2 linked regions of the Drosophila melanogaster genome follow. The protein of the gene in region 1 purifies or fractionates together with the protein of each later gene. This does not show direct contact. Each region holds a gene or a part of one and is shown on either strand. Other genes may lie near its edges.

Region 1 (3,755 bases):
GTTCGGAAGGATCGGCGGAGGCAGAGGAGGAGGAGCTGGAGGTTATCGAGGAGGAAATCGAGATGGAGGGGGCTTCCACGGTGGACGTCGCGAGGGAGAAAGGGACTTCCGCGGTGGAGAAGGCGGCTTCCGCGGTGGACAAGGCGGCTCCCGCGGTGGACAAGGCGGCTCCCGCGGGGGACAAGGCGGCTTCCGTGGTGGAGAAGGCGGCTTCCGCGGTCGGCTGTACGAAAACGAGGATGGTGAGTAAACCTTTTGGACGACATGTTAAATTTTGGGTTATGGTCATTTGAGTCATTCCTGCTGAATTCCATGTGGTGTGCTTTGTTTTGTCAAGTAGTTTGTTTTCTTTTGTTTTGTGTATGCATATTTGCCCAATTGGTGGCAAATTGGCCAACATTCTAGCTAAGGAACTGCCGCCGATCCCATCTAGCTGCGATAAGGATGAGGTGGGCGCATTCATCGATCAGCTGGACTTGAGCAAGTACACGACCAGCCTAGCACTGATTCGAAAATTGCGTGACTACTTGCTGACTGCATTTAAGGCTTTGGTGAACCAAGCATGGGCTTCTCTCGAGAAATTAGCTCAAGAAAAGCGTGCACAAAAGGCACATCAGATACGCGAAACAACAGATATGATGAATCGCCTTATGGAGGACATGGGCCGATTGATTCGTGAAGGTGAACATGAGGAAGCAAATGGGATTGGGATGGGATTTCAAAGCATTGATGCGGATTGCAGAGCTGATTTGTCGCAATGGAGGAATTTACAGCAAGTTGTGATGCCGCAATCTTCGGAGATCAGAGATGGACAAACAAACAGGACAAGCGGTACTGAGGGCGGTCGATCAGGAGGTTTAACCGATGGCGATGACTTAACCGAAATACAAAGCGCCGCATACGCCGTGTATCATCAGGTTTTGGATCGAGGTTACCAAACGGGTCGACGGCTGTATGATGATAATCAAGGAGCATTGAGAGAAGATTCTATTCCAACAGAAGACCGAGAACACCCAGAAAATAATCAAGTGGATGGATCAACATATGGAGTGACTAGATTTCTGCACTGGCTAAGTGAGAACTTTGTCACTCGGCATGAAATAAGGGCCGTACGTTTTGGCAGTCCGCATATGGTTTTTCAATCTTATGACTGGCCAGAGTCTCCAAAGCAGCACATTTCGACGGTCCATCAAAAAGGCATATTTTATTCTCAGCCCTTAATTAGGACACGCATAATAGCCACTGTTGCGAGCGAGCCAAACAATTCGAGTAGTGGTCAGCTCAGCAGTATGGTAAACTTGGCACGACATCAGCGGTCGCAAAATCAGGAAACGCCAGATGGAATTTACGTTAGTCGCTACAATGCAACTGGAGATGAGGAGACTCCCTGCTCCGCAACCGGAGTCCCCGGCAGAGTTGTGGCTCTGCGTGCTTCGAGCACCCCAAATGAACATAGGAGCGATCCAGGGTACTTAAACCAACTCTAACTAGTCTAGTCTAGCGCTTTTCTTTCTTACCATCTATGGATACTTTTTATTCCCTTTTTCCAATGAGCGGTTGTGTAGAAAAGAGCAGATTTCAAACATTTAAAGATTACATAAAAGAAAAAAAAAAACACCAAATTTAGCCAGACACCGAAACAATTTATAGGAAATTTGATTAGAGAAGTACCTTAATGCAGTATAAATTCAGCTTACTTTTCTATATGTACATATTTTCCATCTCTTCGCTTACTTTCGTTTCCTTCTCTATAACTTAAATGAACACATAAGCTAAGTAATGTCCGTTTCACAGCTTGTCTTTTATACCCAATTTGACTTACGAAGATGGGACCATACCATCATTGGCAGCAGGCGGCGCTGCATCGACACCGTTGGCTCCATCACTGCCAGCAGAGCATTCATTGGGGTTAGAAATGGATAGCAACACTTTGGTGGTACCAGCTGATGCGGATGAAACCCGCTTAGTCGGACATCCAGGATCAACAGTGGTTCGTTCTCGGCTTGGAGGCCCTCCAGCATCAACACCTTTACTATCATTCCGACCTAGACTGCCGGTCATTGACGAAGAGCATCATCTACGCTTTACCAGGGTGTCACGCGAGCTGCAAATGAGTGTTGCTTTCCCGCCGGAAGAGACAACACTAAGCGAGCAACGTGAGTGGGGCTCGATTTTCCGACCACGTGATGAAATGGTTAACTATGCCGAAGGTCCACCTCCTCGCCAAACACAAAGGGCGCGTCGTCGCTCGCGTACACGCAGACGACGTAATCGTATCGCTTCAGCTGCCAGCCCGCAACTAACACCGGAACGAATTGTCCGTCGCGAGGAAGCCTTCCAAAGCAGCCGACATATTGCAGCCACTTTTATGTCCAGCTTGCTACAAAATGCAGCTGGAGAAGTGACGACGTCTTCAGGTCTGGCAGTAACCCGTTCAGTGAAAGAAATAACGACATCAGTCCATATCACCCGAAATGTACTACAAGAGGAGGTACCACCGACCACAGAAGCAACGACGACCTCCCTAGAAGTTGCACAGGCAACAGGGTATTCGGATTCTGGGGCTTGTATGCAATCTGCAGCGTTCTCTCAAGATCTTCCTGTAGTAGCTCCCTTGGAGATATCTGGAAATGCATCAAGTGACCAAGCATCATTTGATCAAGCTTTGGCCTTACTGCCTCCCATAAATTCCACTCCAATAGGTCAGCATCCAATTGCTGTTTTCGGACCTAAAACCGAAATTGAAATTAAACCCCAAAAAATGGACATCTCTAATATGATGAATACATCGGTTCCACCAATGCCAATGGAAGTCGACGAAGTTCCACTGGAGGTATCAAACACTTTGGCCAATATGAGCGATCACGCTTATGTGACTGATATACAGATACTACCGTCGTTGCAACTCAATTCTTTGAATCTTGTTAGCACCAATATTACAGACAATGCAGTAAATATCGCCCCATCGACATCAACAAATGATTTGCAAACGCCAAGTGACCGCAGAACATCAATGCAAAATCAACTATATCGAGTGTCCATGAACGATTTGGCATATATTTCACAACACGCTAATGTGGTTCGTCTGATGGTAGATCGTCAAGAGGAACTAGGGGCACAGGTCAGCTCCCTGGGGCCTTTTAAGGAAAATAGCCAAGGCGCGCTAAATTTTAGTACAATGCCCGCTGTCAAAGTCTACGATCCACGTATAATTCAGAACATTCAGAAGGATAAGATGAGAGTAGTTCATGGGCTCTTCGGTGCTCTTATCAGACAGTCCCAGGTTGATATGCACAATGCACCATTCATCCGAAATCGCAAGGATGCGTTGATGGCATATCGCTTTTTACTCGAGCTTAAGACTGCAAATATTATAAGTCTTAGCTCGGATGGTAGATTTTTCGGGCTGCTCTAATCAAATAAAAAGCATTTTAATTTTAAAAATACAAAAAAAATTTAATATTAGTTTGCTTAAATAATTTAATAAAGTTGAACGTGGTATTAGAATCATCGCCATTTCTTATTATTCGTTGACATTAAATTGTTATATTGTCCGTGATTAGCTAATAAATTGGTACAGAAACAGTATTAAAATAAAATACACAATTTAAAAATGAATTTTAGTTTTGGTTATGAATTTTTATGAACTGTATTTCGTCTGCTTAAATTTAAGTGAATAAAATTGTTATGAAAATCAAATATTTTCTAGGTGATGAACGTCGTGGAAGACTAGATCGGGAGGAACGCGGCGGTGA
Region 2 (3,755 bases), on another chromosome or scaffold:
GCTCTGCCAGGTGGGACTCGCGTATCTTCTTGTTCTTCTGCTTGCGCTTTTCGGTTTTCACCTTCTTCAAGTGTTCCTTGGCCTGCTCTACAATCTTCTTTTTGGATCGCATCTTCAGCGAGGTGCCCGGCTTGGCGGCCGTGCCGACAAAATCGCCCTGAACATCGCTCAACTGCTTTTTCTCCGCGACTTTACCTTCGGCTTTCGCTGCTCGCGAAGCTTCAAGTTTCTTAATGTGTTTCTGAAGTTTGCTTTTATTATCTGCTTGGGGAACTGGAGTTTTGGTCTCCTGACCATTGCGCTTTTGCTGGCGTCGCTCCTTGCGCTCCTGCTGTTTGTTTTGGTATGTGGGATTGTTCTGCTTTGAGCGCTCCGTGCGCTTTTCTTTGATTTTGTGCACAGCACGATCCTCTATACTGAACGCGACAATGGGGCGCTAAGGGAGTGAATAGTTAGCAAGTGAAATTAGCAAGAGTTGTCTAAAAGTCCTTACACTCTGTGTTCCGAAGATATTGGGGTTGTTGTTTAGTTTCCGTAGGGCGGCCAAAGCTCTCTGATGCGTGTCGAAGGATAGGAAACCAAAGCCCTTGGACTTGCCCTGTGGATGCTCAGGGGTCACCTTATGTTCCCTCATCACCCGGCATTCGTGGGGTCGGAAGCCAGTATAAGTCAGAGCCATTTGTTTCAGCTTTTCATTGTCATAGTTTTGGGGGAGATTGTGAATGGACAAGCGATTCCGGGAAACAAACCTAGAGGATTATCAATTGGATTATAAATGAATCGGTCATGTACTTAGTTTCAGTCTTACCGATTCAAGTTCTTGAGCACCTGCGTCTTAACCTGCTCAAGTTCATGTCGCTTGGCCATGTCTGAGGCAGAAACCCCATCGGCTGCCTTCGCTCCAGCCATGATTAGACCTTCCCTGGCCAAATACAGGTTTCGTGAGTCCTTGGCATCGTCTTTTTTGTTTTCCTGCGACTGCTTCGACTTCATTTCCTCGCGGCTCAATGCGGGATGAGGATCCAGGACCTCGTCCATCAACTTAAACTCTGTTCCAGCTTGCAGACAAAGATCCGCTGACTCCTTGGCTTTGAATTTAACGAAGGCTGTACCCTTGGAGTGGCCAGAAACCGCCTGGCGATTAATAATGGCGTAGCTGACCAAGCCGAATTTGCGGCACGCCTTTCTCAAGTCGGCATCCTCTGCATCGAAGGGAACGTTTTTAATGAAGACCGTGCAGCCCTCCTGGACGTCGTTGGAGATTTGCTTTTCCCTTTTGACATTTTTGATATCCAATTTTGATTTTAATTCGTCCTTGTTCTCCTTATGATCTTCGTCGTTCTCTTCGTCTTCAGATTCTCCAGAGTCCTCTTCATCTTCGCCGGATTCCGCATCAGAATCCTCCCCAGAACTTTCATCTTCCTTGCCAACTTCCGCGTCGCTTTCCTCCTTAACTTCCTTCTCGTCACCGTTTTCCTCTTTCACTTCCACCTTTGGCTTCTTCTCATCCGGCTCCTCGTCTTTCGGGTTCTTTGATACATACTCGTCCTTGCCCAAAGCCCAGTCCACAAATACCTTTCTCCCGAGCAGCTCTTTGCCGTTGGAGTTCAGGATCGCTTTGGTGGCCTGGTTAATGGTCTCGTACTGGACAAAGGCGCAGCCCACCAGCTTCCCGTCACCTCGTTTCAGGATGTGTACATCCTCCAGCGTGCCCCACTGCCCGAAATGCTCGCGAAGCGAGTCCTCCGTGGACTTGTAACTGATGTTGCGCACGATGAGACGCGCTCGCTTTTTCTGGCGGCGCTCCTTCTCTTCCTTCAGCCTCTGTGTGTTAAAGGGGTTGCGGCGCTTCCGGACCCCGGTTTCTGGCTGAGATTGGGATTCGGCAGCGTCGTCTTTTAAAGATTTCATTTTTTTAAGTTCCATTTGCACGTGGAACTCTTGATGAGAACTAACGAACAAAACAGCTGATCGGCAAAATACCCAAAATGAAGGTCCATCCCTGGTATAACCGATAGAAAATGGGCGGGAATTTACAAACATTTCAAAAAATGTTTTTAACATTTTATTTGTAACAATTATCAACAATTAAAAAGTCTACGTTTCTTGTTTGGTCGCGAACAGTTGGTGGAACTCCGAGGGGGTCTTGAAGTAATCAACCAGAAGCATTGAGGAGCGGTTGCCCAGTTTGTACATAATGTGGCTCCAGGGATTTAAAAAATTCTTGTATTCAGCTATTTGACCGCGTTCAAAATAGTGTTTTACAGTTCCAATGGGTAGTTGGGACCCATAGACAGCCACGTATCTAAAAATAAAGTAAGTTACTACTTATAAATGTCATGTACTACCGTACAAAGTTACTTTTCCGAGCTCTTGTATATTCTCAGTGGATATTTGGCGACAAAAGCTCGAATCGCCAGGTTTATAAGCAGAAATCCACCCACAAAGTAGTACAGATCTGATTCCTGGGACACCAGAATGGCTATGTCCATTTTCTGGACCATATCCAGGTAGTTTATGGTTGTGGCATAGTGATAGGCGGCCACCGCAGCAAGTACAGTGGTCGTGGCAGTGGATATATTCTTCGTCCAGGTCACGTAGCTCTCGATAGGGGCCCGGTAAATCAGTTTATAGTTATCTGGTAGCCTGTCGCCAAAGAGGAGCTTCCGTTCCACTTCGCCGGAGGATGCATTCCGCCATTTGCGGAGCACGCTGCTGGTGCTAAATGAGAAGGTGCAGAGTGATTCAATCGGATAGGTCAATGGATAGGTCTTACTGTAAGAGCTGGAAATTCGGTTTAGCTAGTATTGGCCGTAAATAAACCAATTTAACACTTCGTAAGAGGGCCGCACACATTTTGTGTTTTATTATGCTGTCTTTGAAAACAATCTGGCAACGTGATCAGCTGTGCTGCAATCAGCGGCACTACCCGATGGTTGTCAAAGAAGAAGGTCTGGCAACGTATGTGCTTGAGGAATGCACCGAAGAATAATCAGCTGTGCCTCGAAGTTGCCGGATCACCAGGTCGCAGCAGCTATGAGTTTTGCGTCAGACTCGAATAATGATTAGAAGCCGACTCCTTCCGGAAACATTCATTAGGTAAACAACACAGCTATAGAACAGACTTTTCCAGTTTCCACAACTTTAGCTAGGAACACGTTCCACATTTTTCCACATTTTTGATACCTTAACAAAATGGATTCAAAACGCGCGGCCCTTGAATCCGGCGACGGTCCGGACGCCAAGCGCCTTGATACCACCGATGATCAAGACAAAGAAGCGTCGGGGGGCGACGGCAGTCAGGTTATGCTGGCCAAACACGTAGCACCCTACACGGGCCACGGATGTACTCCACCGATGGAGTCCTATTTGTTCGAACCGACTCCCGCCGGGAGTCAACTTCTGCCGTGGAAAACTAGCGTTGATTTGGACAACGACGCCGAGCTGGAGAAGCCCACCAGTGACAAGAAACGTAAGTTGATGGTACGCTCACATCCTAGTACTCTTATACAACAATTTCATTCAGCCGACACTGCCAAGTTGTCCCGTCGGGAGCTGGCCAAAATGCGCCGTGAACACACATTAAGGGCCCTCGCCCTGGAACGCGAGTTGACCAACAAACCGGGGCAGACACCCGCTTCCGAAGTGTTGCTCGTCCGCTTTCCTGATCCCGAGATTACTGCTCCCATGCTGGCAGGACTGTCCAAGGATATTCGGGATGTGGTCTTGCCCATTAGCGTGGCTCCACGATACTG

Evidence for each region. Proteins that work in one complex are often made in the same cells at the same time.
Region 2: the proteins of vig (region 1) and CG4806 purify together in Drosophila melanogaster (affinity purification with mass spectrometry, with the first as the bait; one large-scale study listed by BioGRID). This does not show direct contact.

Annotation. Positions count from the first base shown.
Region 1 is NT_033779.5:15,068,629-15,072,383, forward strand, and holds the start of vig (vasa intronic gene), read right to left. Parts: upstream 1,689-3,755; 5' UTR 1,518-1,688; intron 1,469-1,517; coding exon of another isoform or gene 406-1,468; intron 243-405; coding exon of another isoform or gene 1-242. Other genes in the region: solo (sisters on the loose), read left to right, coding at 1-242, 406-1,468, 1,795-3,415; vas (vasa), read left to right, coding at 1-242, 3,710-3,755.
Region 2 is NT_033778.4:24,666,376-24,670,130, forward strand, and holds the start of CG4806 (uncharacterized protein), read right to left. Parts: upstream 1,969-3,755; 5' UTR 1,927-1,968; coding exon 809-1,926; intron 750-808; coding exon 494-749; intron 437-493; coding exon 1-436. Other genes in the region: CG33228 (uncharacterized protein), read right to left, coding at 2,098-2,305, 2,362-2,721, 2,777-2,856; Pof (painting of fourth), read left to right, coding at 3,196-3,472, 3,527-3,755.